Linked DNA regions of Oryza sativa Japonica Group. The protein of the gene in region 1 binds, or shares a complex with, the protein of each later gene. Links are inferred from orthologs where the notes say so. Each region holds a gene or a part of one and is shown in the gene's direction. Other genes may lie near its edges. The genes, in order: small ribosomal subunit protein uS17c; small ribosomal subunit protein cS23; 30S ribosomal protein S31, chloroplastic; small ribosomal subunit protein bS6c; rps4; rps8; small ribosomal subunit protein uS13c.

The links.
Region 2: small ribosomal subunit protein uS17c (region 1) and small ribosomal subunit protein cS23 share a complex: the UniProt entries of both Arabidopsis thaliana proteins name them as parts of the 30S ribosomal subunit. The link is inferred for Oryza sativa Japonica Group from reciprocal best matches to the Arabidopsis thaliana genes RPS17 and PSRP3/1.
Region 3: small ribosomal subunit protein uS17c (region 1) and 30S ribosomal protein S31, chloroplastic share a complex: the UniProt entries of both Arabidopsis thaliana proteins name them as parts of the 30S ribosomal subunit. The link is inferred for Oryza sativa Japonica Group from reciprocal best matches to the Arabidopsis thaliana genes RPS17 and PSRP4.
Region 4: small ribosomal subunit protein uS17c (region 1) and small ribosomal subunit protein bS6c share a complex: the UniProt entries of both Arabidopsis thaliana proteins name them as parts of the 30S ribosomal subunit. The link is inferred for Oryza sativa Japonica Group from reciprocal best matches to the Arabidopsis thaliana genes RPS17 and AT1G64510.
Region 5: small ribosomal subunit protein uS17c (region 1) and rps4 share a complex: the UniProt entries of both Arabidopsis thaliana proteins name them as parts of the 30S ribosomal subunit. The link is inferred for Oryza sativa Japonica Group from reciprocal best matches to the Arabidopsis thaliana genes RPS17 and rps4.
Region 6: small ribosomal subunit protein uS17c (region 1) and rps8 share a complex: the UniProt entries of both Arabidopsis thaliana proteins name them as parts of the 30S ribosomal subunit. The link is inferred for Oryza sativa Japonica Group from reciprocal best matches to the Arabidopsis thaliana genes RPS17 and rps8.
Region 7: small ribosomal subunit protein uS17c (region 1) and small ribosomal subunit protein uS13c share a complex: the UniProt entries of both Arabidopsis thaliana proteins name them as parts of the 30S ribosomal subunit. The link is inferred for Oryza sativa Japonica Group from reciprocal best matches to the Arabidopsis thaliana genes RPS17 and EMB3137.

Annotation. Positions count from the first base shown.
Region 1 is NC_089038.1:35,899,948-35,903,867, forward strand, and holds small ribosomal subunit protein uS17c, read left to right. Parts: upstream 1-1,924; 5' UTR 1,925-1,993; coding exon 1,994-2,431; 3' UTR 2,432-2,885; downstream 2,886-3,920. Other genes in the region: transportin-1, read left to right, coding at 151-222, 313-437, 501-552, 630-698, 775-834, 935-1,018. UniProt on the Arabidopsis thaliana protein: One of the primary rRNA binding proteins, it binds specifically to the 5'-end of 16S ribosomal RNA. Required for optimal plastid performance in terms of photosynthesis and growth. Required for the translation of plastid mRNAs.
Region 2 is NC_089038.1:23,519,568-23,524,090, forward strand, and holds small ribosomal subunit protein cS23, read left to right. Parts: upstream 1-2,010; 5' UTR 2,011-2,062; coding exon 2,063-2,332; intron 2,333-3,176; coding exon 3,177-3,458; 3' UTR 3,459-3,620; downstream 3,621-4,523. Other genes in the region: transcription factor MYB106, read left to right, coding at 269-1,043. UniProt on the Arabidopsis thaliana protein: Component of the chloroplast ribosome (chloro-ribosome), a dedicated translation machinery responsible for the synthesis of chloroplast genome-encoded proteins, including proteins of the transcription and translation machinery and components of the photosynthetic apparatus.
Region 3 is NC_089039.1:5,295,151-5,299,284, reverse strand, and holds 30S ribosomal protein S31, chloroplastic, read left to right. Parts: upstream 1-1,755; 5' UTR 1,756-1,801; coding exon 1,802-1,985; intron 1,986-2,203; coding exon 2,204-2,268; intron 2,269-2,352; coding exon 2,353-2,520; 3' UTR 2,521-2,911; downstream 2,912-4,134. Other genes in the region: pseudo histidine-containing phosphotransfer protein 2, read left to right, coding at 1-120, 235-303, 547-618, 717-789, 897-947.
Region 4 is NC_089037.1:36,415,828-36,420,614, forward strand, and holds small ribosomal subunit protein bS6c, read left to right. Parts: upstream 1-1,697; 5' UTR 1,698-1,729; coding exon 1,730-2,143; intron 2,144-3,034; coding exon 3,035-3,280; 3' UTR 3,281-3,584; downstream 3,585-4,787. Other genes in the region: uncharacterized protein, read right to left, coding at 1-527; uncharacterized protein, read right to left, coding at 3,952-3,970, 4,144-4,368, 4,444-4,487. UniProt on the Arabidopsis thaliana protein: Binds together with bS18 to 16S ribosomal RNA.
Region 5 is NC_001320.1:43,680-47,487, reverse strand, and holds rps4 (ribosomal protein S4), read left to right. Parts: upstream 1-2,072; coding exon 2,073-2,678; downstream 2,679-3,808. Other genes in the region: photosystem I assembly protein Ycf3, read left to right, coding at 3,651-3,774. UniProt on the Arabidopsis thaliana protein: One of the primary rRNA binding proteins, it binds directly to 16S rRNA where it nucleates assembly of the body of the 30S subunit. With S5 and S12 plays an important role in translational accuracy.
Region 6 is NC_001320.1:75,734-79,000, reverse strand, and holds rps8 (ribosomal protein S8), read left to right. Parts: upstream 1-1,892; coding exon 1,893-2,303; downstream 2,304-3,267. Other genes in the region: rpl16 (ribosomal protein L16), read left to right, coding at 871-1,272; rpl14 (ribosomal protein L14), read left to right, coding at 1,382-1,753; infA (translation initiation factor 1), read left to right, coding at 2,440-2,763; rpl36 (ribosomal protein L36), read left to right, coding at 2,875-2,988; rps11 (ribosomal protein S11), read left to right, coding at 3,163-3,267. UniProt on the Arabidopsis thaliana protein: One of the primary rRNA binding proteins, it binds directly to 16S rRNA central domain where it helps coordinate assembly of the platform of the 30S subunit.
Region 7 is NC_089037.1:29,173,443-29,178,214, forward strand, and holds small ribosomal subunit protein uS13c, read left to right. Parts: upstream 1-1,607; 5' UTR 1,608-1,701; coding exon 1,702-1,800; intron 1,801-2,494; coding exon 2,495-2,734; intron 2,735-3,117; coding exon 3,118-3,294; 3' UTR 3,295-3,509; downstream 3,510-4,772. Other genes in the region: uncharacterized membrane protein At4g09580, read left to right, coding at 160-291. UniProt on the Arabidopsis thaliana protein: Located at the top of the head of the 30S subunit, it contacts several helices of the 16S rRNA.

The DNA of each region.
Region 1 (3,920 bases):
TGCCAATCACATTTGCCACATGGCAACTTTGACACTAAACTTGGCCAGCAACATGCACTCCTAGTTTATTTCTGTGCCTATGACGTGCTAGTACTCATTGGTATTTTGTAAAATTGTTGTGGGTATGTCTAACTGATTATTCCTTTCCAGATTGGCAAAGAAATTTCACCTGTGGTTATCACTGTTGTTTCTTGCTTGGTGCCTATTTTAAAATCTCCTGAGGTAATTGCATTTTAAGTTGTTCTCATCACGTCTTTTACTCGAGTGAGCATTTCAGCTAAATGCCTCGTGTGTCCTGACATACTATTACAGGGCTTGAATAAGTCACTTCTCGAAAATAGCGCAATCACTCTTGGGAGGCTTTGCTGGGTCTGTCCAGACATTGTGGCCCCCCACATGGACCATTTCATGCAAGCCTGGTGCAATGCCTTGTGCATGTAAGTGTCTGTCCTTTAAGCTCTCTGGTGCCCTTTTATGGATCTAATTTTCGTCATGTACAGGATACGAGATGATTTTGAGAAAGAGGATGCATTCCATGGTCTATGTGCAATGGTACATCCACGCTTTTGCTTACTGTTACAATTTACAAAGCTGTCTGACTTACACAAAATACTGTCATTCTATACTAGGTAGCAGCAAACCCAACTGGAGCTGTGGGTTCACTAACTTTTATCTGCCAGGCCTGTGCAAGTTGGAACGTGAGATTCCTGTCATATTAGACATGCTTTCTGCACCAGTATTCTGCACCGAAGCTCACGATATTTGTTTATACAGGAGATAAAGAGTGAAGGTTTACACAATGAAGTGTGCCAGATTTTGAATGGATACAAGCAGGTATATATTTTTTTTTCTTAGGGCGGGTAAAACGATTCCTCATTGCGGTTCTGTATCGGTACCGTACATGCAACAAACTAACAAAAAACATTTTCCATAGATGCTCGGAAGTGGGGGTTGGGAACAGTGCATGTCCACCCTAGAGCCAGCGGTCGTTCAGAGATTAGGCAGATACGGAGTATGAGGATACCGACGGAATTTGTTTTGGTTGTCTATTCTTTACTATACGTTGGGACGGAAGCAAAGAGAAGAAAGGGAACTCATCGTGCAGCGCCAGTGTGTGATTTTTATGATGTGATGGATTCTGGCCGGTTAGTTTTGTATGCTCCACTGCTAGTGATATATTGGTTCGCACAGGACTGCTGTCTGAGAGCATCATGTGCGTTGTCCTCAGCACAAGTGAGTGGTAAGAAAGAATTACCACGACAGACAGAATGAAGGCTAGTACCTTCCCTTTTGGTTTATTGAGTCGATTGGGTCGAAGAGCTGTGCTTGATTGTAGGTTCTATTGTACTGGTCAGTTCAGTGGACTCGGTTCTGTTTTTTTGTCACTCCACTGGCACTGGCACTGGCACCCCAGCAGCAACATAGAGTTGTTGGAAAGGTTTTGTAGCGTGTATTTTATGGGTCCAAGAGTTTAGGTGTAGGGTCTTCTCTCTTTTATTTTATTTTTTTTCCTTTTGTGCTCGACAGGGTTGTATTGATTCATTCCCCAATAAAAAAAAAGTATTGAACAAACATTGAGACTGAAACAAAAGGAAGATTGAACAAGCTTTGAGCCTGATGTTCAAGGTGAGTTGAGAGGGTATATGGTAAAAGAAAATACTCCTGATCATCCAAGCCTGAGATTCGTAGGCCTATGTAGCGGCATATCGCTTACTCCTAACGTCTGGGTAGTGCGAGTTATGAGCACATTTGTCTTGCTTTGGCTGACCTTCCATTTCCATCCGGCTTCAAGACGAACGCACGCATACATACAGTAGCTAGTGTGTTTTCAAATGGGCTGGGCCGGTGATGTTGCAGTAGCCAGCCCATTATGCTGGGTTGTCCGACCGGAAACCTTATCCCCTACCCGTCCATCAGGCTCAGCTTCTTCTTGAGCTTCCACGGGTGGAGAGGCAGCCAAGGATACGATAGCAAGGAAGAGAGAGCGTTGAAGATGCTGCTGACCACCCCGTTCGTGTCGTCCCCTGTGAGGGTCCAGGGCAATGGGGGCAGCGGCGCCTCGCCGTGGGCGGGCGCGGCGACGGCGCTGAGGATCCAGGCGGCGAAGCAGCTGACGGGGCGTGTGGTGACGACGAAGGCGGACAAGACGGTGGGGGTGGAGGTGGTGCGGCTGGCTCCTCACCCAAAGTACAAGCGGCGGGAGCGCATCAAGAAGAAGTACCAGGCGCACGACCCGGACAACCAGTTCAAGGTCGGCGACGTCGTCGAGCTCCGCCGCTCCCGCCCCATCTCCAAGACCAAGCACTTCCTCGCCGTCCCCCTCCCCCCGCGCGACACCCGCCGCAAGTCCCAGCTCCTCCCGCCTCTCCAGTCCCAGTCCCAGTCCCAAGACCAGGACCAGCCACCCACGCCTCCTCCTTCCTCCGATTGATGGATTTTTCTTCTCCCGTAATCGTAAATTCGTAATGTAATAATCTGTGCTGTACTATGTACTCCATTGATTTTTATTTGCTCTGGATTTCGAACTTCCCCAGCAGCAATGCTATGTTCCCTTTTCATTTCATCTGCTCATATGCATGTTGTTACTCAGTGAAACCATACTACCAATATAATGCTACTAGAGTAGAATGTGCTTGTGTAATTCTGTTATCCTAGCCCCCATCCCATCGAAGAAATTATTTAGGGCTTCTATAGCATCGAAAGACTAAAAGAACTCAATAACCTTCGACTAGTGATACAACACCTCCGAACTACGTTCCCGGTCTTCAGCAAGCTTCCCGGTTTCATTGTGATGGTTCCTAATATGATTCGAGAATTTCAATTTGATATTTGTTTTAAACCATCCGGGAAACTTGTTTATACATGATACTGGTAGAATTCTACTACATAACTGTCCGCTTAAATTAATTATAGAGAAACAAACCCCTTGACCTATGCTGCACGGTCAAGCAACACGAGAAACAGTCAGTCATCGCCTGCTCCTGCTGGGCGTGTTCTTTGTGATGGTTGGAACAACTTGGAAGCGCTCTCTCCCAACACGCACAACGAAATGATGGACTAGTACACTAATTAAGCATTAGTTTAAAAAAACTTAAAAAATTAATATATTCTTTTAAACAATTTTCTTTTATTTTTTTTAAAAAAATATATAATAGTTAAAAAAACATGCACGTGAAAAATAAAAGGCGGTGGTTAGGAAGAGCCTGAATACTTTGCTTGCATCGTCCACCCCAGTCTCCCAAGGCTAATGGAAGCAATTATCTCTTCCTGTGAAGGATCACTGTATTTTGTTTCACTTCCTGATTTTACTTTTACAACGTTATTGAAAGACATTGCATTCTGCAGTTTAGCATTTGTCGTGTTGCCCATCCAAGTACAAATACGAATCAACGTTTTGATTTCCAATGTGCAAGAAACGCATGAACAGCTGCATGTTAAATTGGCAAAAAAATACTTGCCTTGTAACAATCTAAATAGTAGTATTCTTTGGTTCGGAAAAACTTCTCTAGTGTAGTACTACTACTGTAAGTAACTTGCAAGATTTGATGGCCCGGGATGTATCAGGTGTGAGAAAACTAATCTCTGGCTGCAGACCAGCAAAGGAAAATCTCCACTGCAATGCGACGCGCCAGCCCCAGCAGCTGATCAAAATTACCAGGCAGGCAGGAACTGCACCCAGGAAGAGGAAGACTCAAATGAAACATCTGACAAATGATCTGTTGATCACCAGCATTGTGATACTTGTCCTGAAAGTTTGGGACAAAATAGGAAGATCAATTATCTGATGACGAATGCAAATGCTGAAGCGAGGCAGATAAAGATGAGGGAGGCGACTATTTTGGCAAGGTCAAACAAATCAGTAGAGATGGGCAATGCACCGAGATTGTGAAGTGCAAGTGCGTGAGTATAATAGTTACATC
Region 2 (4,523 bases), about 12 Mb from region 1:
GGAGGCGAGCCCCCCCATCATTGTGGACCAAAACTGGGGTTTGGTCCACTGTTGCCACCTGCCCCTCTTCCCATTTTGACTCACAGCTTCCGATCATCTCTGCCCTCTGTCTGTACTACGCCACGCACGCCTTAAATCACACCGCCGATTATTTACGTTTTCAAGAGTGCTGTTTGTTTAATTTTGTCACTGCGAATGGAGGGCTTTTGACGTGCGATTTTCCTGATCTTTTTTCTTGGCCGGCGTTGGCGTTGTTGTTGTTTTGCAGGTGGTCGGCGATCGCGACGCACCTGCCGAAGCGCACGGACAACGAGATCAAGAACTACTGGAACACGCACCTAAAGAAGCGGCTGGCCAAGATGGGGATCGACCCGGTCACGCACAAGCCGCGCTCCGACGTGGCCGGCGCGGGCGGCGGCGGCGGAGGTGCGGCCGGCGGCGCGGCGGGCGCGCAGCACGCCAAGGCCGCGGCGCACCTCAGCCACACGGCGCAGTGGGAGAGCGCGCGGCTCGAGGCGGAGGCGCGCTTGGCTCGGGAGGCCAAGCTGCGCGCGCTCGCGGCCTCCGCGACCCCGGGCGCGCCGCACCTCCCGGCACCCCCCGCGTCGGCGGCGGCGGCGGCGGCGGCTCACGGCCTCGACTCGCCGACGTCCACGCTGAGCTTCTCGGAGAGCGCGGTGCTCGCCACCGTGCTGGAGGCGCACGGCGCCGCCGCCGCGGCGGCCGCGCGCGCCGCCATGCAGCCCATGCAGGCGTACGACGAGGCGTGCAAGGACCAGCACTGGGGCGACGTCGACGCCGCCGACGTGGGCTTCCCCGGCGCCGGAGCGGGGTTCACGGGCCTACTCCTCGAAGGCTCCTTGAACCAGATCCCGAGGCCGGCGGGGAGAGACGCGGAAGCCGACGGCGAGTTCCAGGAGACCGAGGAGGAGAAGAACTACTGGAACAGCATACTGAACCTGGTGAACTCCTCGTCGGCACCTATGTCGACGGCCGTGGTTGTGCCCGCCTCCCACGCGTACTCGCCGGCGCCGGACTTCTGAGCGGAGAAAACCTCGCCGGCATCAAACTTGATTCGATCTCATGACACAGTAAATAGTTTAGCAATGATTGTCGAATAAGATGGGACTAATATTAATGTTAGTAATTATTAATCACGTTCTTGGGTTAACCTGACAATGCTTTCGATTAAACTTGTGGGCAAGAACTTCAACTGTTCAAGGCTGTATCGACATTTGAAATTCGATGCTTGTTTTGTTCGGTGTTCTTATAGAATGTGTAAAACACTGAAACTACTATCAGAGAATGTAGCATCCTTACTTGCAAAGTTACTACTCCTGCTTGTTTTTTTTCAAAACTTACGATCATTTCAGTACTTTGTACCCGGTTCATTTCATTCCACTATCAGTTTTTACTACGCCCAAGCGGTTGGCAACTGGGCACTAGCACTACTGAAGGCCAGGGTTTCCCAAACCACCGGACCGGGGTTACCACACGGTAACCGTGTAAAATTTATCAAAATTTAAAATTATTTTTTAAATTTATTTGAATTTAAGGGGGTTACCGCGGTTTCCCTTTTACCGTACCCCACGGTAAGCGCGGTAATCGCACGGTTACAGACGGTTTTGCAAACCCTGCTGAAGGCAAACGGACGGCCTCATCTTTTCGCTTATACTTATGTTTATCAGTCAAAATTTAAATTTTTACCTTTAAATTTGGGGTTGATTTTATTTTTTTTATCGAAGGTTTATTTTTCAGTCTTTGCTTTTAGATCGTTAAAAATATATATATAAAAGATTTATTCACAAATTATTTTTTATTTACAAATATGCCATTTCGTTTATTCTCGAATAACCGAGACGATTGAGCTGTGAGCTTTTTACTTAGATTGGATCTGGGCCGGGCCGTTTTGTGCTGGGCCATATTGGGCTTTACCATAACTTTCTAGCCCACATCTAATAGCTGACGAGAAGGGGATTATTAAGGGTAAAGATAAGAGGAGGCAGCCCCGCACCATCGTCTTCCTCCTCTTATCCGCACAGGAGCCTCGGACTCGGACACGATGCTGGCGATGTCCGTCCACCCCGCCGCCACGCCGGCCCTCGCCTCGCGCGCCCGCATCTCCCGGCCCAAGCTTTCCGCCGCCTCCCCCTGCACCACCTCCTCCTCCTCCACTCCACGCCTCGTCCACCTCGGCAGCAGGAGGCTTCCCCTTCGCTCGCTCCGTGGCCTCGCCGCCGCCGCCGCTTCTGGCGCCGTCGAAGCGGAGGAGGGAGAAGAGGAGAAGCAAGTCGGAGGTGGGGATGCGAGCGCCGGCGAGGAAGCGCAGGAGGTAATGGGCTAGTAGCCGCTCCAAACCATGCCAGTGACTGAAATTACGGGGTTTTTTTTTTTACCGAGTCGAGCTCAATTTCAGAAGGAAGTGTTGTTTTTTGAAGAGGATGGAGTTCAATCACATTTGGTTTCGCATGAATTTGATTTTTCTTGAATCAATTTTGGTTACCGAACTGATTACTTGAGCTCATAGGTGAAATACAGTACGAGGTGTACATTTGGGTGAATTCACGAGTAGAGTAAATCTTTAGACACAATGCACAGCTGAAAGCTTAAGAGAAGTCACAAGTAGAGTAAATTAGAGAAGTTCTAGTCTAGTTGAGCATGTTTGGGCACTCGGGCTGTCCTTTTGGTGCAGTTTTGCACTTCTGCAGATAAAAGGTGTATGCTAGTGATGAAGAGGCGAAGAGCACATGAAAGCATGTCCACAAACTTGAGCGTGTGCCATTTTTGGTTGTATGTGTAAGCAAGAACTGAACTATTGAACAAACTGTAGCATTGACAGGTTTTGGTCATGAAAGGAGTTTTTTTTCATTCAGCTATTTACGTGATTATGTAACAACATTAACAGGCACAATAAGTTCCTTTTTCATCACTATATCAGATTTCAGAGATGTACACTAAAAGTGGATTAGTTTTGATTATATGGGAGTTACCCTCACAGTTGAAAAATGGGGCCTTTTGTAGAGAAATGAAGTTGTCAATGGAACACGTACAGTAGTTGTTGCAATTTATTTTACTACGACTTGAGCTGTGTTAAAACTGCACAATTTATTTTACTCAGATATGCAAAATCAGTATTAGCATTATGAGATTTGAAACGAATTGATTTTGTATCGCAGTACAAGGTTAAGGTGCCTGAAAGGCAGGATCCAATGCTTGTTCTGAAGTTCATATGGATGGAGAAGAACATTGGCATAGCCCTCGACCAGTTGGTTCCCGGCTATGGCAGCATTCCGTTAAGCCCATACTACTTCTGGCCACGGAAAGATGCCTGGGAGGAGCTAAGAGCAAAGCTGGAGGAGAAAGAGTGGATCTCTCAGAAACAGATGATCATCCTTCTGAATCAGGCCACTGATATCATCAACCTTTGGCAACAGGGTGGTGGCAGCTTGTCAACCTAAGAGGATATCTCAATTCTCCCATCCTTGAGAACCTTGTTTCTTTTTTTCTTGCTTTGGTTACACGGATCTTTGTTGTTACATGACCCTGTAGATCGATTCAAACTGTTTTCGGATACGGTTTTGTTTATGGAAATGAATTGTGATTGATCTCTGTAAGGTAAACGATTTGGGCTCCATCATCCGCAGGGAAGATTGCTAATACCTCTTGATACTACTATACCATGATCCAGTTAAATAAATGTAACTCGATATTTTGAACTTGAAGAAAAAGGGGAATTTCTTTTCTTTCGAAGAGATTTGGGGTCACGGGGGCATATACCCCTTCTACTGCGATTAACTAACACCGGTGATGCCCTGAAAAAGCCCGGCCCGCTCCGCGCACCACGAGCCTAGGCCGTCCACGCGTAGGCCTCTGCAAAACGGGCTGCGGCAACGCGTGAGCCTGTGCGAAACGAGCGTGAAAACGCTCGTGGACTCGTGGAGTCGTCGTGGTGCCCGCGCGTCGTGCTGCGACGCTCGTTCTCACGCCGCATGCAGCGCCGCGCCAGCTTGGTCACGGTCTCAAAAGCGTTCAAAAGGCATGGGAGCAACTGAGCAAGGCGTAGCAGCTTATCATCATCTCGGCCAAGGGGGGAGGAGGGGCAAGGCACATGGAGGCGTTGGGTTGGAGTTGGACCTCCTAGGTAGGGAAGCAGGAAGCTGGACTCGCTAGGAAAAAAAATAATGGAGAACCTGTACCGCGTGTACCAGAAGATAAGCTTATTTAGCAGTACTGATTTTTTTTTTTCTAATGAAAGGAAACAGAGTATTGTTAAGTCCCAAAGAGATAACTTATTTTTTTCCTCTTCGACAACGTAGTACTAACTTAGTACTAGTACTGTTTTCTATGATCAAAGTAGAATATTGTTAAGCTAGCTAGCACTACCAACTGTCCTCCCATAAGAAAAAGGTAAGTACTACTACTATAGTAGAGACTGACCAATCAACTCAATTGTGTAATGCACTGCTCAGATGGCATCTTTACCTTCTTAACACTCAACTTCCTTACAGAGTAACGTGCCGCTT
Region 3 (4,134 bases), on another chromosome or scaffold:
TGAACAGTTTAATCAGCTGGAAGAACTGCAGGATGAATCAAGCCCCAATTTTGTTGAGGAAGTTGCGGCTCTGTTCTTCAAAGATTCATCAAGACTGTTGACAAATATAGAACAAGCAATGTAAGTAATATGTCTGCATCCACGATATGAATAGATAATTGATTTTTTGTACAATGATTACCCATGATTTGAAAGACATGACAATTACATTTACTTCCATTTCTTTTGATGCAGTGATAAATACCCTCAGGATTTCTACAGATTAGATTCTCTTGTGCAACAACTCAAAGGCAGCGGATCCAGGTATAAAACTGGGGCATATGCCCAGAACACAGAGTGAACAATATTCTTTTACAGGTCTCATCAGTGTAAAATCATGTCTTAGGTCTTAAATAACCAATATAAAAACATTCAAACTTAAGAATGCTTATTGATGTGAAATGAACAAATATTATTTGTTAATATGAATGTTCTCACCGAAAGCTTGTCATCTTTGCCTGCTTTATGTGTTCAAAATTCGCTAAAGTTGGCCTGTGTTTGGCGCAGCATTGGTGCACTGAGGATGAAGAATGAGTGCTCTGTGTTCAAAGTAAACTGCAATGACAGGAATCTGGAAGGGTATGCATTTCATTGACTCGTCCAACTTGTTCTTCACATACTATCCAATCATCATGCAATTTCCTCACATGATGTGATGAGGCCATGTTCTCTTTCAGATGCCGCAGGTCTCTTCAGAAGATGAAGAGGGAGCATGCCACTCTGAAGCAGAAGCTGGAATCATATTTTCAGGTATGTTGTACTACATCCTTGTCTCTCTCTCTTTCTGTTTACCTTATTTTCAGCATTGCTACATGGCTAAACAACTTGGTTATCTCCTGTTCCTTCTGCTGATGCAGTTACTGAGGCAAGTTGGTCCCCGTGATTATGCAGTGAGCTCAAGGAAGTAAGAAGAACAGTATGAGTTCCAAGGAAAATAAAGAACATATACATAGCAGCTATCAGTCTCTTGAAAATTCTGTCGCTGAAAAGTTTTTGTGCCAATCAGATACTCATAATGCTTAATGGTGCCTTTTTGTTGTGTTTGGATTGCATCTGTAGCTCCATAATCCATATATACTGTATGAAGTTATGTAAAGCCCTGCTTATGCACACTCTCCTTGCCTGTCTACAAAGTGCCATGAACTTGTGTTATTAGTCAGTAATTGTAGCAGAAAGTGTCATGGTACTAATATGAGCTTTTAATGTTTGAAACTAGTAATATGTAAACTAGTTTTTTGGGTTAATTAATTGCCCAGGTGCCATCATGGAAAACTATTTGTTTGTACTTTGTATACTCAACAAACGCTATAGTCACATTCCCAGAACCAAAGACACTTAAAAACACTGGTTTTTCATCTCTTCCACTAATATTCATAACAGTGTTTGAGCTTTAACCATCAATATCATTTTGAACGTTTCGATTTCTAAAATCTTAAAAACGTTATGGCTAGATTTGTCTTCAGAAGTCCTAAAAATATCATAACTTTGCTATATTCTTCATAAGTTTTATACTAGTAGTAATAATTTAATCATAAAAAAATGATTATCTATAGAAAAAGAAATGAGAGGACAAAAAAAAAAGAAAGAGAAACATCAGAATTGCAGAGGGCCAAGCCAATCATGGGCTTGGTCCATAGGCCCAAGAGACAAAGCCCAATCCATGGGCCTGGGCTTCCCTTTCCCTCCGTTTTATCTACTCCGATGCACGCACAGCTTATCCGATTCCATCCATTCCTCAAGCTCTCACTCCTCTCTCGCTTCCATGGCGCTCCTCGCCGTCCACGCCATGGCCGCGTCCCCGGCCACCTTCCCCTCCTCCCACCACCACGCCGCCGTCTCCTCCTACTGCGCGCTCCCCGCCGCCGCCGCATTCTCCCGCTCCCGCTCTCGCGTCGCCGCCGCCGCCGCCGCCACCCTCTCGGCCCCGCTCACTCCAGTTCTTGAAGGTAACTGACATGCCTACCTAACCTCCCTGTCTCTGTTTTGTTCGTCAATTCGGATTAGTCTGGTGTGAAATTGGCTCGATGATCTTATATGAAACTGCTTTTCAAATCGTATTGCACGAATTCAATTGATACAGCACCAAAACATAGATTGAAACAAAAACCTCGCAGTTTGAACCAATTACGATTCCAACTCAAATTACTCCATTTGGTGTGACCAGTTTACTGCGGGAGAGGGGACAAGAAGACCAAGAGGGGAAAAAGGTTCAACCACTCGTACGGAAATGTGAGTCTCTAGCACAAAAATAAAATTAATAAAAAAATCATATGCTTATTGCTTCCTGTGCTGCTGTTTGCTGCAATTCTTCAGACTTGCCATCTGCTGACTGCTGTTTGCTCATCTCAGGCGAGGCCGCGCAACAAGAAGAAGGGAACTGGCCCTGCACGGCTGTTCGCGCCGCCTGCGCCTCCGAGGAAGGACCAGTTCGACGACGGCGAGGTCACCCCGATCGACATCGACGATGACATCCTGGAATAGGTTGTCTGAATTTCCCCCCTTGAATTATGGTTTACCTTGAGCTTACCTTTTGTCTAGTCTGTACCAAACACTGTTTCTTGAAATTAATTACAGTACATTACATGGTCTCATTCTACATAATGTAGATGCCTATGATTTCTTTCCTTGTAATATATATGAATGGTGCTGCTTAGAGTCATTTTTTATGCATTACCAGCTGAAGCAGAACATAAGTACAGATACAATCACCAAACTTTCATGTTCTTGCTAGAAACCAGGGAAGATGCAGTATCTCTTTTTTTTTTCTTTTCTAGCTGTGTCCCTGAATTCAAGCACCTTTTGACATGCTTCGAATTTGTTGTGATGATCTGGGAAGCAGTTCTTAAGAATCAACTAATAAACCAGTCCATCAGATCGGGTCAGAAATCTGCCCCTTTTTTGTTGTTTTGTCTGTTGACTCTGTTATGCGCTTGAGTTTTGACACAAGAAATTGTTTTGATGATCTGCAAAACATATTCCTTTAAAGCTGGACAACAAACCAGTTCAACTGGTCAGCTTGGTGGTAATTGTATGTTAAAATTCTGTCATTTTTTGTTGTTTCGTCTGCAAGTTTGTTGTGAGCTGCTCCCCCCGCCCACAAGGGTAAGCAACTATCTCGCCCGAAATATACTACAATTTTGGCCCAAACTGGAAGTGTAAACCCTGCTACGCAATGGCTTTAAGAACCCTAAACCCTGAAGCATGTTTTGTTTGCTACCATTTCAAGCCATCACAAATTTTGGTAAGATAACGAACCAAATATGTTCGAGTATCCCTACCTTACCAAAATTTGGTAACGTACGAAACAAACCCGCCATCTGTTCAAAAATTTGGTGAAGTAACAAACCAAACATTTTCCCACAGTCCTAACATTTGATAAGTTCACACCTCTACAGCATATAAAAAATAGAGGGGGATAAATAGAGCAGTTGTCAGTTGTCACTTTTACTCAACTTCTGTTACTGTTATCTCTCCGAACCTAGAGGCAACATCACTTGTCTTCCACTGGACTGAAACCAGGGTCCAGTGTGATGCCAACCTGCTGCAAGGCTGCAACCTATTACAACAACTGAACCTCATGAAACAAGACATTTTGCTTTTCATTTTGATGCATTTTGATTTGAAGAATAAGGTTTTACCCTGATTCTGTTAATGAAACCATCATTTGGATTACAGAGTTTGCAACCAATGCACTAGATTTTTATATTAAGAAATACTAGGGTTCATTCTCATTTTTTTCAATCAACAGGACAACATCCATAGTGGTAACTTGACAAGATGAGACAAACAATGCACAAAACATATATTCTTGAAAAAGGAAAAATAGTAACAATACATACTCGATGTTGCCGTGCAAGTTTCTAGTACTACTTATATGTACCTTAAGCAAACATTGCATATTAATGGAAAACATGTCTCAGCTATTTTCGCAATGCAGAGGTGGTTCTGAATAATTCTGATCCTCCATATACATTTTGGCAATGCGGTATCTTTTTTGAGACAGCAGTTAAAATTTCATCAATCTAGCCACCAAAAAATGTCTCCTCAAATCAATACTCAGAGAACTTAAGGAAAAAGAACATGAAGTTTTTTGGA
Region 4 (4,787 bases), on another chromosome or scaffold:
CCGGACTTCTCGAGGGGGAGCTTGATCCTGCCGATGATGGGGACGTCGATGAGGAGGACGACCCTGACGAGGTAGGGGATGATGCTCCCGGGCTTGATGTCGTTGTAGGTGCTCTTGATGTCGTCGTAGATGAGTGAGATGGGGATCTTGACGGTCTCCTCGCCATGGGCGTGGATTGTGCCGGCGTCCGGGATGAGGCCGGAGACGAGCTTGCGGCCGTCGCTCTCGATGAGGTAGTCGATGTCGACGAGCGGGATAGGGACCGGGTTAGGGTTCTTGATGAGCACGTCGACGACGAGGTCGGCGCGGTGGAGGCTGATGTGCGGGATGTGGACGCCGGAGACGTCGGCAGTGGGCTTGCCGAAGCCGACGGCCCCCTCGATCTTCTCCCCGATGTCGTGGATGAAGTCCTTCACCTTCTCCATGAATCCCCCGCCTCCTTCCTTCTTTTCGCCGCCGTCGTCGTCCCGGCGGTCCTTCCCGCCGCCACGCTCCGTCACCGTGGGGTTCTCCGACGAAGACGACATGCTCGCTAACTTCAGGTAGCAACAACAACAAGCGATCGAATCAAGATCTCACAGCAAGATCAAATCAAGCAAACAGATCGCACGCCATTGCTAACTCCACAAGAATCACCAAAGACTTGATCACAAGAAAGATTGCTTTCTTTTCTCTTTCCTATTCTACACGGCTAGGCTACACACGGCAACAAGATCTGAGGCACAAATATCCTCCAAAACGAAGCGAGAGCAAGTAGAAAGAAACATAGATTGATTTTTTCTTACTTTACCTGTGGGTTGATGCGGAGATCTGGACGAAGCGAGTGGAGATCGCGAGCGGAATGGAGAAATTTAGAGAGAGAAGAAGAAGAAGCACGCGGAGAGATGAGCAGAGCAGAGCACGAGCTTATCGTGGAGCAAGTACGGCGTGGGGCCCACTTGCAGTGACACGAACGGACTGCCAGCTCAGCTATACTGTCGGCTGGACACGAAGTCAGAGGCAAAGCGAGAATTTTTTTCATTTTTAAATTTTTATTTTTTAATATTTAAAAAATATTATACCATCCAAAATATTTACATAAATTACCCCTGACACCTAAGGGTGAGTTTGAGAGGAGGGGAAAAGAGAAGATTGGGAAGATACGTAAAACGAGGTGAGCTATTAGTACATGATTAATTGAGTATAAACTATTTTAAACTTTAAAAATAGATTAATATGATTTTTTAAAGCAACTTTCATATAGAAAATTTTTGCAAAAAACACACCGTTAGTAGTTCGAGAAGCGTGCGTGCGAAAAATGAAACAAACTAACTCACAAACTCCTCCTGCCGAACGCTCCCTAAGTGGAGGGTGGCAAGGTGTGCGTATTTTGCACCGAGATATAATGCAATTTTCACCTTGTAAAAAATACAGTTTTCTAGTTTTTTTTATCTTGTCCGTCCTCACATCACCTTGCCGCCCTCGGGATCTACTTCTGTAAATGTTTTCGCCGTACAATATTTCTGTAAATATTAAAAAATAAAAATTTAAAAATGAAAAAACTTAGGCAAAGCGAAGTGGCTGGAACCTTTACCTGGGCCAATCAAAAGCCGGTCCATTTGGCCCACTAACCCCGGCCCAACAAAAACCGGTTTAATGGGCCTCCATCTAAAAATCCTATCCTTATCTATCCACTGGACACGAAGGCAACACACCTCGCCTACCTCCACTCTCTCGCGCTCGCTCTCCAATGCCGCCACCAATGGCGCTCTCCATCTCCTCCACCGCCGCGGCGACCGCTCTCCTCCCGACTCTCCCGCCCTCGCGCTCGCGCCTGCGCGTCGCGCCGCGCAGGGCGGCGGCTCGGGTGGCGCGCGTGGTGTCGGCCGGATACGCCGCGGGGTTCTACGGCGGGGCGGCGGCTGCGGCCGGTGGCGAGAACGACGAGGTGGGGGATGAGGAGGGTTCGTCCTCGGGGTTCGGTGCTGGGCTAGGGATAGGAGGCGGTGGGCTTGGGATGTCGGCCGCGGAGGCGGCGCTGGCGCTGGAGGAGCGGGAGATGCCGCCGTGCCCGCCCGGGCTTCGCCAGTACGAGACCATGGTCGTGCTCCGCCCCGACATGTCCGAGGAGGAGCGCCTCGCCCTCATACAGCGTTACGAGGAGGTAAAAATCAAAATTACTAGTAAATAATTAGCTGCACTGACTAGGCGCCAATGCATTTGCTATCTGCTGCAGTAGACATGAATTTCCGAGGAAGATTTGTAGTGGCCAATGCATGAGAATTTTATCTTTTGCCAGTTTATGGTAAATCGGGCTGAATTTATGGCACACTGGTAAAACTCAAAATCACTACTAGTGGTAAATAATTAGCTGCATTGACTAGACGCCAATGCATTTTGGATTTGGGCTATGCTGCAGACCTGCTCCTGCAGTTGACATGAATTTCTAGGAAGGTTTGTACTGGCCAATGCATGAACTTGTCATCTTTTCCCAGTTTATGGTAAACCAGGATGAGTTAATGGCATACTTGTTTCTTATTAAAAATGCTGTCATTTGGCTCGTTCTGTCATTAACATTGCTTAAAATCATATATCAGTCATTGTAGGTGAAGCTGAAGCAAATCATTTTGTTGCAAATGTATACTTTCTGGTCAACAGCTACAGCCCCATATTATTTGCGTATGTCATAGTGGAGATACAGGAAGCATAAAATTGTTTCTGCTGTAGAACATACGTTTACTACAGAACCTACCAAAAAAATAGTTTTGTTATTATATATCCATCATTCCATCCTGCGCGCACAATCTCCTGCATTGTTTAGTAGGAGTAGTAGCAATCACCAGTTAACACGCATTCAAGTTTACCTTGGTCTTTTTTTTTTTTTGTCCCATAATTGTCTTGGTTGATGATCAATCAAGCCTCTTGCCCATTCTGTAACCTTAAATTTGATGGTATCCTGAAGTGTGACTTCACTCCATAAGATGTTCACTTGCTACAAACCTATCTGCAATTTGCTTACTGAGTTACTTATGGTGGTTTTTCGCATGTCTTGCAGCTCCTTGTTGCGGGTGGCGCCATGTATGTGGAAGTCTTCAACCGAGGAGTCATCCCACTGGCATACAGCATCAGGAAGAGGAACAGCAGGACTGGTTTGCCATCCACCTACTACGACGGAATCTACCTCCTTGTGACATACTTCACCAAGCCTGAATCCCTGGATGCTCTGCAAATGAGGCTCAATGCTGACGACGATGTCATCCGCTCAACCAGTTTCAAGGTCCGCAAGCGGAAAGCCTTTTAAGATCAGTTTCACCACCTGGACTCAGGTTTCCATGTTTTGGGGAATATGTTTATATCATACAAGAATCCTACTGCCATGGGAGGAGATTGGTTTTTCGCTGCAATCGTTGAGAAAAAATGTCGCCCTTTCTGTTGATAATTTAGAAGAAATTTGTCTTCCTTTTTTTTCGTTATAGCACTGCTCTGATCTTACCTGGTACTCCTACACGTTAAGGGATATTGAACGAACACTTTTGTGGAGCATGGCCTGCTGGGGCCTCTGGAACAAGTTATGCTGTTAACAAAATCAGGGCTCATTTCCTGTACGCCATGGCATTTCATTTATAGGCTGCCTTACCGTGCATTTCATTTGTTGAGTTTTGATCATTTGTTTAACATCAAGACTACCAGGGCATTTAGCTGATAAGAGGGCAAAACACACTGATGGCTGGGAAAAACTAGTTTTGATTAACACAAAATCGTCTTTGGTACACCATAAGTATGATATAAAGTAGTATATGCTGGCCAACCATAGTAGGTCAGAAACAAATGCATACAGCACAGTCTGACGGCATATATCCATGCTCCAGAGTTCTTCAGTAAAAGCTCAACAAACACAATATCTCGGAGGACCACAAGTATCATGTAGAAAAACCAGAATACTCCAAAATCAGCCATCATGGAGCACCAGATTCAGTATCTATCGTGGCGCCTGAAAATAACAACTGTCTAATGTTAGCTCCTAGTGATATAAAGGTTTCCATATCAAAAGCAGATAATTTCATTGTGTTTCTTTGTCATTATACTGTCAAAAGTTTATGGTCGGAATAAATCGCTATACAAGAAAGGCAGAGAGAAGTGAGCAAAGAAACCATTGAACCATACCTGCGCTCCCTGGATCGAGAACGTTCCCTTCTCCTTGAATCATGGCCACGCGAACGGTCATAATCTCTATCCCGATCGCGATCATGGCGGCGGTCCCTATCGTGGCGCCTATCCCGATCACGATCATGGTCTCTTCTGCTTTCTCGAGGTTCAACTCTGTCCTTTCTTTCTGAATCTCTATCCCTGGATGCCTGACCATTGCGGTCCTTGCTGTATTCTCTTGATCTGATGAGCACAGCATGTACTTTCAGATTATGCTGACACTACATGAAAATGAAACTAGGATGGAAAAGCACATACCGCCTGTCATCTTCAGGTGCCTTCCTTCTTTTACTTCTCTCCTCCTGGAAGGCGGCATAGAATATTTTATAATGATAAAATCATGATATCAAGGCTCCAATTTGCATAGGAGGGAAACAGATAAAGGAAAAAAAGTAACATATATATAAAAAAAAGGTGCAAGAGATACATTACGGTTAAATTGCTCCAGCAATTAATTTACAAACTTAGTACTTACAGTAAAAGATGGCAAAAGGAGTGCACTTTCAGAGTAACTTAACCGGTACTATTTATCACCATCTCTACAAAATATGGATCACCCAGCAGAAAACAATCTCCAGCTTCTGATCAACATAATACTAAGC
Region 5 (3,808 bases), on another chromosome or scaffold:
CAGATTTGAACTGGTGACACGAGGATTTTCAGTCCTCTGCTCTACCAACTGAGCTATCCTGACCTTTTCTTGTGCATCATCCTAGTAGAGTATTTGTATCTATGTCAATATCCAAAATTTGGAAATGGGGAGGGGGCAGTCCTATGCATTGTACAAAGAAAGCCTATTTAATAATATTTAAATATCGAGTTAATAATCGACATTCCTTGCCGATACTATAATAAAAAAGAAATGTATTCCATTGAATCTTAAACCTATTAATAAAAAAACAGGATAAATACTAGAGTTAGGAATAAAAGAGGGTTTGGGGATAGAGGGACTTGAACCCTCACGACTTAGAAAGTCGACGGATTTTGCTTTTACTAGAAATTTCATTGTTGTCAGTATTGACATGTAGAATGGGACTCTCTCTTTATCCTCGTCCGATTAATCCGCTTTTAAAAAGATTTCGAAAACTATGAATTGAAGGATTTGATTACTCAATATTCGATTGGAATGGATTCACAACAATTCTAAAAAAATTATGAATTTTCTATTTCATAATCATTCCTATTTTCATTTTAAAAAAGAATTAAAGAACCTATATTATGATATGAGTTCTGTGATTAATCGTTTGCTATGCCAGTATCTATACGTGGTATTAGATTTCGAAAGCCCTTCTTTCCCTAATTTAGAAGGGAGTTCCGCTAGCAACACAACGTAATTAACTCGATTCGTTAGAACAGCTTCCATTGAGTCTCTGCACCTATCCTTTTCCTTTGGGTTCTAGTTCGAGAACCGCTTGTTTTCTCAAAACATGGATTTGGCTCAGGATTGCCCCTTTTTTAATTCCAGGGTTTCTCTGAATTTGGAAGTTGCCACTTAGCAGGTTTCCATACCAAGGCTCAATACAATCAAGTCCGTAGCGTCTACCGATTTCGCCATATCCCCATTTTCTTTTTCTTTGAGACCAGGATTCCTTGTGCAATTTCCTCCATCTGTTAGTTTTTTTTGAATCGTTGAATTCATTACTCTATGTAGTCTAGCGGTTCGTCTCTAGTTGAGAGACTCCGCTTATTGCAATTCAGCATTGAATTGATTCTATCGTTGATGTATTTGCAATTCAATGCGAATCAATATATCCCAAGGTTTTTCTCTCCCCCACCTACCGCGTTCCTTTTTTAGAGTATTCAAAATCATACTATAACGCTTGATATTCATTCTTTTTTTTTGCTAATCAGAATTAGCAATTTCATTTGCTATGATTCTATGTTCTCCTTAGTGAAATATTAATCATTAAATTATTAGCAAATAACAAAAAAAAACAAAATAATCTCAAAAAATGTCTATAATGATGGACTGAAAATACAAGAAATTCGCATGTTCTCTTTATTATGTTTTCGTATATAATATATATTATTTATTCTTTTCCATGTATTAGATTATTCGTCCGAGCCATATCAAATTAAAAATATCTAAAATCAAATTCAATATAGAAATTGGAATAGATTCTATTAGAAAAATAGATTTGCGAATTAGAGAAAAAAGAAAGTTCAAAAAAATCTATCTAACTTTATTTTATGAAGTTCTAGTATTTTTTTCTAAGTAGAACTTCCAATTTCGAACTAGTTAATAGCTAAGATTAATAATTAAGATCTGACATTTTACGGATTTCCTATACTATACATATTTCTATTTGTTACACTATTTCTGTTATGTAAGCCCACTTAGCTCAGAGGTTAGAGCATCGCATTTGTAATGCGAGGGTCATCGGTTCAAATCCGATAGTCGGCTTTTTTCTCTATCAATGTTCCATGAACAAAAATACCTCTTTTTCTCCGAATTAAATGGAGAAGCCAGGATCTATTATGTCGGTCTACCCTACAATTTTGCTAGATACAAAACAATAAAATAAATAATATATATACAAAAATTCAGATGTTGATGAAATTCCATTTTTTTGTGGTACTTTTAGTAGATTTTACTCTGTTTATCCTTTACTTTAATTCAGTTTTAATTTCGATGTATTCTGTAATGTAAATACAATGAAATTAATTGTGTAAAATGAAATTTCAATAAAAAAAGGAGTCTTCATGTCCCGTTATCGAGGACCTCGTTTTAAAAAAATACGCCGTCTGGGAGCTTTACCAGGACTCACTAGAAAAACACCTAAATCCGGAAGTAATCTGAAAAAGAAATTCCATTCTGGGAAAAAAGAACAATATCGTATTCGTCTTCAAGAAAAACAGAAATTGCGTTTTCATTATGGTCTGACAGAACGACAATTACTTAGATATGTACATATCGCTGGAAAAGCAAAAAGTTCAACAGGTCAGGTTTTACTACAATTACTTGAAATGCGTTTGGATAATATCCTTTTTCGATTAGGTATGGCTTCAACCATTCCCGAGGCCCGGCAATTAGTTAACCATAGACATATTTTAGTTAATGGTCGTATAGTCGATATACCAAGTTTTCGTTGCAAACCCCGAGATATTATTACTACGAAGGATAACCAAAGATCAAAACGTCTGGTTCAAAATTCTATTGCTTCATCCGACCCGGGGAAATTGCCAAAGCATTTGACGATTGACACATTGCAATATAAAGGACTAGTAAAAAAAATCCTGGATAGGAAGTGGGTCGGTCTCAAAATAAATGAGTTGTTAGTTGTAGAATATTACTCTCGTCAAACTTGAACTTAAGGAAAAACGGAAAGGTTCATAGAATTTTTCTTCCCTTCCCCTTTCCCCGAACTAAATCGACCTAAGGCTCTTAATTCGTATTTTCCCATTCACCTAACAGAAATGGATTAACCCTAGGATTCCTTTTTGTTTTTTGTTCTTTCCTCTATGTGTATTTTACATACCATAGTAATTTGGTATAGAGAATTTCTATTAAATAAAGGTATTGTATTATTGCTGGAATAAATTGTCATTTGATTTGATACATTGTAATCATTAACGTTGCTGAATTAAGAAAAACGGAAAGAGAGGGATTCGAACCCTCGGTAAACAAAAGTCTACATAGCAGTTCCAATGCTACGCCTTGAACCGCTCGGCCATCTCTCCTCCATAATCTTATTATGGAAAAAAAACTGAGTGAATAGCGAGTTTTCCTATTCCTGCAGTACAGGTACAACCACAACCGCGCGAGAGTTCCATTGTTCTATTAGATAGAAAAATTCCTTTTCATCTAAGTGGACGGGTCCAGGATTTTTTTACTAGGAATTCCGCTCCCTCGAAAAGTTTTAGTTTGGGTTTTCCCCAAACCAAAGAAAAAGAGAATGGAAGAATTCTTCTTATTCGATAAAAAAGGAACCCTAGAATTCTGTTTGCATAAGGTATCCTACCCCATACAATCAAATAGAAAATAGGGTATGGGACGATTAATGACTTTTGAAAATGCGAAATAGTTGATGAGAGAAGTTGTTGTTGAGAAAAGAAATAGGAAAGTGGAATGAAATCCAATCTTAGTCAAATATTTTCTATCTCTTCTTGTTCAAACAGAAGGAAAAAGAGAGAATTTGGGCTGAGCAGAAATACCTCTCTTATCCATTTGGAGCATAGGGATCGATTTGATAAGAATTGAATGGATTTGTTTTTTTTTTATGTTATTTTGTGAAGGAATGAAAAGAATTCTATATAGAATGATAGAATGGGTTGGGAATTATGCCTAGATCCCGTATAAATGGAAATTTCATTGATAAGACCTTCTCAATTGTAGCCAATATTTTATTGCGAATAATTCCGACAACCTCCGGGGAAAAAAGGGCATTTACTTATTATAGAGATGGTGCGATTTGACTCTTTTTTTTGTTTTTTTAGCC
Region 6 (3,267 bases), on another chromosome or scaffold:
GTGTAGCAACTGCAATTTTTTCTTTAAAAAAAAATAGGATTCTAAGTTGTGAAGCAAAACTAAAGGGGATGTAGATAAAAGGAAGGATGATAGAAAGAAGGAAGAGAAATAAGAAAGATATAGGATTCAATATGTATGGTCTATGAATTACATCATAAAAAGCAATGTGATAAAGCATCAATATAATAAAAATAACAGAGAATTCGAAATCGTAATTTGATTGAAACAAGAAATACAAATTTCAAGGAATAACAAAGAGCGTCCCGAGTTAATAAAACTGAGAAATTGACTCGGAAAGAAATTTTTTGGAAGCTCCATTGCGAGATTCAAACCTAACCATTAAAGGAGAAGCAGTGGGAACGACAGAACCTATGACTGGATAGGATTTTCTTGAAAAGAATCCCAATACTTCATTGGGTGGGATGGCGGAACAAACCAAAAAAATTGTCTTATTTGATAAGGTTATGAATTAACAAATAAGACAGGAAAGAGTAAATATTCGCCCGCGAAATTTTTATTGAATTAGAATACTTTACCGCGATTCAATAAGAGTAAAATAAAAAAAGGAGATTAAAAAAAAAAAAAAAAAGAATTACATTAAATATAGAATATAGATAAATAAACATACACATCTAGATATATTCTAGATCCTCTTTCTTGACTATATATTTTAGTATTTTAATAAATTCAATATTAAAAACCCTAACCTTTCCTATTAATGTGTATCTATCCGTAATATTTTAGAATATTGTGGAATTAGAGAAATTTGGCACACTTTCTCATTTGATTCGCGAGGAGCTGGATGAGAAGAAACTCTCATGTCCAGTTTTGCAGTAGAGATGGAACTAAGAGAGAACCATCGACTATAACCCCAAAAGAACCAGATTTCGTAAACAACATAGAGGAAGAATGAAGGGAAAATCCTACCGAGGCAATTGTATTTGTTTTGGTAGATATGCTCTTCAAGCACTTGAACCCACTTGGATTACGGCGAGGCAGATAGAAGCAGGACGAAGAGCAATGACACGATATGCACGTCGTGGTGGAAAAATCTGGGTACGTATATTTCCCGACAAACCGGTTACAATAAGACCGACCGAAACACGTATGGGTTCGGGAAAGGGATCCCCCGAATATTGGGTAGCCGTTGTTAAACCAGGTCGAATACTTTATGAAATGGGCGGAGTATCCGAAACTGTAGCTAGACGAGCTATTTCCATAGCTGCCAGCAAAATGCCCATACGAAGTCAATTTCTTCGGTTAGAAATATAACCCCCCAAAAAAAGTAGTATTGAAAATAAAAAACCAGGTTCTTCTTTCTGGAAAGACAATATTTCTTTCATCCTTTTGCATTGAAATAACAAATTGAAATCAAAATAATATGATTCAACCTCAGACCCTTTTAAATGTAGCAGATAACAGTGGAGCTCGAAAATTGATGTGTATTCGAGTCATAGGAGCTGCTAGTAATCAGCGATATGCTCGTATTGGTGATGTTATTGTTGCTGTAATCAAAGACGCAGTGCCCCAAATGCCTCTAGAAAGATCCGAAGTAATTCGAGCTGTAATTGTACGTACATGTAAAGAGTTCAAATGCGAAGACGGTATAATAATACGCTATGACGACAATGCAGCGGTTATCATTGATCAAAAAGGAAATCCAAAAGGAACTCGCGTTTTTGGCGCGATCGCCGAGGAATTGAGAGAATTGAATTTTACTAAAATAGTTTCATTAGCTCCTGAAGTATTATAAATACTAGTAGACAAGATATAGATCAAATAAAAAATTAGTAGATTGTGTTTCACGTATATGCTTTAGAATCCAAAACGAAAAGAAAAAAGAGAACATGTTGATTATAGAAAAATTAGGAGGAACCTAGAATTAGAGTCTTATGGGCAAGGACACTATTGCTGATTTACTAACCTCTATAAGAAACGCGGACATGAATAAAAAAGGAACTGTTCGGGTAGTATCTACAAATATTACCGAAAACATTGTTAAAATACTTCTACGAGAGGGTTTTATTGAAAGTGTTCGGAAACATCAGGAAAGTAACAGATATTTCTTGGTTTCAACTTTGCGACATCAAAAGAGAAAGACTAGAAAGGGAATATATAGAACTAGAACCTTTTTAAAGCGTATCAGCCGACCTGGCTTACGAATTTATGCCAACTATCAAGGAATTCCTAAGGTTTTGGGCGGAATGGGAATTGCTATTCTTTCTACTTCTCGAGGTATAATGACAGATCGAGAAGCTCGACTAAACAGAATTGGGGGAGAAGTCTTATGTTATATATGGTAATCGCCCGCCTATAGCGGTAATCGCCCCACCTATAGTTATAGTACCCAAATTCTATCTTGAACTTCCTATTTTTCAAACAAAAATACAACGTTTTTTTATTTGAAAATAAAAAAAGAAAAATAGGAGAAAAAAAAATATGACAGAAAAGAAAAATAGGAGAGAAAAAAAAAACCCGAGAGAAGCAAAAATTACTTTCGAGGGTTTAGTTATGGAAGCCCTACCCAACGGAATGTTCCGCGTTCGCCTAGAGAATGACACCATCATCCTGGGCTATATTTCAGGAAAGATCCGGTCTAGTTCTATACGAATACTGATGGGGGATAGGGTCAAAATTGAAGTAAGTCGTTATGATTCAAGCAAGGGGCGTATAATTTATAGACTTCCCCATAAGGATTCGAAGCGTACCGAAGACTCGAAGGATACCGAAGATTTGAAGGATACCAAAGATTCAAAGGGTTAGGTTTTTCTTTTTTTTTTCTAGGGTAAAAAATTCAAAGTTCTAAAATTCAAACAAAGAGACTTATTTTTTCCAAAAGAGTAAATTCATAGTTTAAGAAAGGAATACGGAAATATGAAAATAAGAGCTTCTGTTCGTAAAATTTGTACAAAATGTCGACTGATTCGTAGGCGTGGACGAATTAGAGTCATTTGTTCCAATCCGAAGCATAAACAAAGACAGGGGTAATCTTTCGAAAAAAGAACTTGACTTTCTAAAAAGTAAAAAAAAAAGTACCCGCGAAAATGTCCAAATTCCAAATAAAAAAATTCAAGTAAAGGATATATTTTACCCTGAAACGGATATCTTTGTATCTTTTTTTCTTTTTGTTATTTCTAACTCATATTTATGAGATAATAAAATATGACAAAAGCTATACCAAAAATTGGTTCACGTAGGAAAGTACGTATTGGTTTGCGTAGGAATGCGCGTTTTAGTTTACGGAAGAGTGCACGTAGAATAACAAAA
Region 7 (4,772 bases), on another chromosome or scaffold:
ATTATGTTTCATGAACTGTCTTTGCACTTTGCACGTCTTCTCCGTTGACTTCAGGATTTACTTAGTTGTGGACGGGTTTGGTGGTTGATCTGATTGTATTATCTGTTTCCAGTGATACCATTTTATCTACTCATCACCATTCTTACTGCTGTCTTGCAGGCTGGTAGGGCACTAGGCGATCTAAGATCACTTAGGGAACTGTATGACTCAAAAACACTAGTAATTCTATTCCTCATTGGAACTGTTGCTGTTGCTCCAACGATTCTGAAAAGGAAGAGAATATACGAATGATGCCACTAAAAAGCATCTAAACAGTGTATTAGTAGAGCACTCCAGAAGTGTATTAGTTTTTTTTCCCTTTCTTTGTTGATATTGTATACCTATTCAATTTAGCTGTAGAGATGTAGTAGTAACATGATGAATGTTTTCCTCAATAATAGATGACGCTAAGCTGTTGCATCTGTTGCCCCAATGTTCTTATAAATCCCCACGTCCCAATTAACGATGCGGTGGAACTATCTGGTTGTTGTGGTTTTACAGTAAATCTTACTGCTCCCAATTGGATGGGCAACCTTATCCGTCGTTTTGAAATGATGTGTTATTTGCCACCAATTGTCCTATTATCTCCATTTATTTTATTTTCACTTGAGACATTTCTGCAAGATGATATTCAGAACGTTCCCCACAGATTATCCTAATACAAAATGCAATACGAATTAAACTTACATTTAGTAGTACCTAAACTGTTACATCTAGGATTATAAACGTGCTGAAATTCTTTATCCTCCCACAAAAACCCCAGAAATTTATATTCAGAGGAAGCTTATGCAGTTCTTTATCCTCCCACAAAAACCCCAGAAATTTATATTCAGAAGAAGCTTATGCAGCATAGCTGATCCTAAAGGCTACAACATATTCTTCTTTTTTTCCTAGAGAGAGGAGAATATTTTCTTTCGTGTTTACTCCCTCCATCTTAAAAAAAAGCTTAAAAAAAAGAAAGTCAGGAACATAACTTAAAAAAGCTTTAAAAAAAAAGAAAGTCAGGAACATAACTTAAGACTGTGTTCGGGAGGAACTCACCTCTCGCGCACGTAAAACGGAGCGAAGCATTTTCTTATGATTAATTAAGTATTTATTAATTGTTTTTGAAAAATGATTTTTTAAAAGCAACTTTTGTGTAGAAATCTTTAAAAAAACACATCGTTTAACCGTTTGAAAAGCGTGCATGCAGAACACAAGGGAGATGTGTTGGAAAAAGTGGGAAAAGAACACAGCCTAGTACTAACTTAATAGCCTAGTACTAACTTAGGGTGTGTTTAGTTCACGCTAAAATTGGAAGCTTGATTGAAATTAGAACGATGTGACAGAAAAGTTGGAAGTTTATGTGTGTAGGAAAGTTTTGATGTGATGTAAAAGTTGGAAGTTTGAAGAAAAAAATTGCAACTACGGCGTTATCTAGATATGGAGTACTCCTAGCTTGTTCTTTTTTCTTTTTCTTTTTTTAACAGAAGGAGTAAACTAGCGACTTGACCTGTTTGGGCCGTACCCTGCAAGGCCCAACCCAAGAAGTCGCCGATACAGTGGTAGCCTACAGGTGCGGCTACCTTATCGGCTTCCTTCCCGTTGGGTTCTATCCGAGACAGCACCGAGAGCTCCGGGAGAGAAGCGCACGCACCTCCGTCCCTCGTCGGGAGCGCAGAAATGGCGACCCTCTCGATGGTCTCCGTCCCCATCGCCACCTCCTCCCTGCCCCTCTCCGCCCGAGGCCGCAGCTCCTCCGTCTCCTTCCCCGTTCCCAAGGTGAGAAGCAAAGCCACCCCTCCCCCCGCCTCCCCCCTCCGCGCCCACTTCTTGTTCGGCCATTTGCTCGCTCGTCCTGTTCCTTGGTTCTGTGCGATTGATATGTGATTCACGCATGACGCATCGTACATCCGTATCACTTATTGCAACTCAACCCCTGGGATCGTTTTGTTATCTTTGCCATCTTGGAGGTTGGGGAGGCTAGTGGCCGTGCTTTGTGTACTACAGTACTAATTTTGAGTATGTGCAATTCAGTAGTTTTTTTTCCGTGATGTTGGAAGAACAGTGTTCCTGTGCAATTTTAGAATTATTGGCATCTGTGAGGAACTAGTATTTATATGCTTGTATGCTTATGAGTTTGAATCTCTGCCCCTAGCACATATCATGTTGGAAGAATGGATAGTGTTACGAAGTAGTATTTCTTTGGACAGCAGAGTGTATATGTAATTCATGTAGGGACTAGGAATAGCAAAGAAGGTTAATTATGCATATAGGATGTAAAAAGAATCGTAATTCCTTGTTAGTACTCCCTCAGTTTCATACTATAAGTAGTCAAAGTTCTTTAGGTTTGACCAAGTTTAAAGAAAAAATTTCCCCACCCCATTATCTTTACTTGCCCAGTCATTTGTAGGCCTGTGCTTTTAACTGTGTTGTGGTTTTGATTCTTTTTTTTTTATTATTGGGTACTGGACAGAAAGGGGGTATTGGTCATGGTGGCCTGCGGATCGAGTGCATTCGTATTGGTGGAGTGGAGATCCCGAACCACAAGAGGGTAGAGTACTCACTGCAGTACATCCATGGCATTGGGCGGTCACGCTCCCGTCAGATCCTCTTGGACCTCAATTTTGACAACAAGGTCACAAAGGACCTCTCCGAGGAGGAAGTCATCACTCTCCGTAAGGAGGTTACCAAGTACATGATTGAGGGAGACCTTGTAATGGCCCTATCCCTTGCTAATTCATCACTTAACTTTTTTTCTGTAATTTTGGTGATTAGTATGGTTACCCTACTTTGGTACTTCCTCCGTTTCACAATATAAGTCATTCTAGCATTTCCCACATTCATATTGATACTAATAAATCTAGATAGATATATATGTCTAGATTCATTAGCATCAATATGAATGTGGTAAATGTTAGAATGACTTACATTGTGAAACGGAGGGAGTAGCATGTTGAAGATTCCTTGAAATTTGGTACCCTTAAACTGATCGTTCTGAAAAAAAAAAGACTCTGTAGTTCTTTTCCCATTTCTGTCATCGTGGATTTATGTTGTGTTGCTAAAATAGAGTTCTGATGTGTTTGCCATGCTTTACAGAAACGGTTTAATCGTGTGGCGATTGAGAGGTTGAAGGAGATTAGGTGTTACAGGGGCATCCGCCACAAGCTAGGGCTGCCAGTTCGTGGACAGAGGACGAAGAACAATTGCAGGACGCTGAAGGGAAGGAGGGCTTCTGTTGCGAAGAAGAAGTCGCCTGCTTCCCAGGAGGAATAAGACACATTGCCATGTATTTACCTTTGGTTCTTTGCCTCTTGTTTATTTTTTGTGTTCTGCTTGACCACGCTCTTGTCTGGTATTATGAGATTTTATGTTGGTGTCGTCATAGATGAATCACGGGTTGTGATCTGTCACTGAAAAAGTTATATTTGTCACCTGTCTTACATGAACTGATGCTAAATTAAGGTTATACTATGTTTTTCAGTCCATCATCTTGCTGTCTCTCTTCTGTTGTCATATCTATGCTTGACCGACCTGTTCCTGATGAATTAACGTATCGCCAGTTTTCTGTCCATTTGTTCCACATGCCACCGTCAGATCTAATGCCTTGTTAACTTTACAAGCTGAAAGAGGAGTATCAGTGTAGCTGAATAATAATATTAGGAACCTGCCTTGCTGATAGCAGCAGACGGGGCTTTTAACTATTTGCCACTCTTACGAATGGTGCTTAACGATTTGCTACTAGACCCACATGTCATAGACACATGAGGGCCCACATGTTATTGGCAGGGTGTGGCAAATCGTTAATTGCCATGTCACAAGAGTGGCAAATAGTTAAATTTCCCGCAGCGGACACCAGTCGAGATTTTGGTTTTTTGTGAAGAGATGATTTAAACTTGAGTTACCAATTACCATGATTACCATGCGTGTGGTTGGAACATGGAACTTTCTGGAGAGAGCTGCTCGGCTCAATCTTGGCTTGTTCACTTTGTTGTCCAAATCAACCATACCAAATTTTGTTACATTTCGGTACTACTGGCTTTGTTTGGTTTGATATCTTACCAAATTTTGGTAGAGGTTTAAGAGGAAGCTTCTAAGACTCCCAAATTTTGGTTTAGTAGTAATGGTTGAAGTATGTTTACTTTATTGTTCTATAAAAATTTGGCAATACCGAAATTTGGTAAAGTTAAGTGACAAAAAAAACAGACCCTTAATAGAGCGACAACAGAAGAGCCATTACAACAAGAAGAAATGAAACGTTGTACTCAGAAAAATTAAAGATAATGATGCTCTAACGGTCCTGCTTGTAGAGTTGTAGGGATGTTGTGTTTCTTGTTTGTCAATTGTCATATGTCAGTGAGATCAGATAAACTAACAATTTTCTGGCAAGCTGACAAAAATGTGATACAATTTTTTTAATTATAAGATATCCATTGATTGATCGATTGAGCACGTTCAGATTTCAGAAACAGTTCGGTTTATCCAATACCCTGATTGTTATTTAACTCTGAGCCGCGACCATGTCTCCTGGTTTTGCATGGCTCCAAAACAAGCTCGAACCATGGTTAATCTTGAACCACGAACCATGATTAACCTTGAACCATGGTTCAGTCTGTTGACAAGTTTATATACCATGGTCCTATATGGTAGAACTTTAACTCCTAAATTTAGCTATATGAGTTACTCCCTCCGTTTCACAATGTAAGTCATTCTAGTATTTTCCACATTTATATTGATGTTGACATCAATCTAGA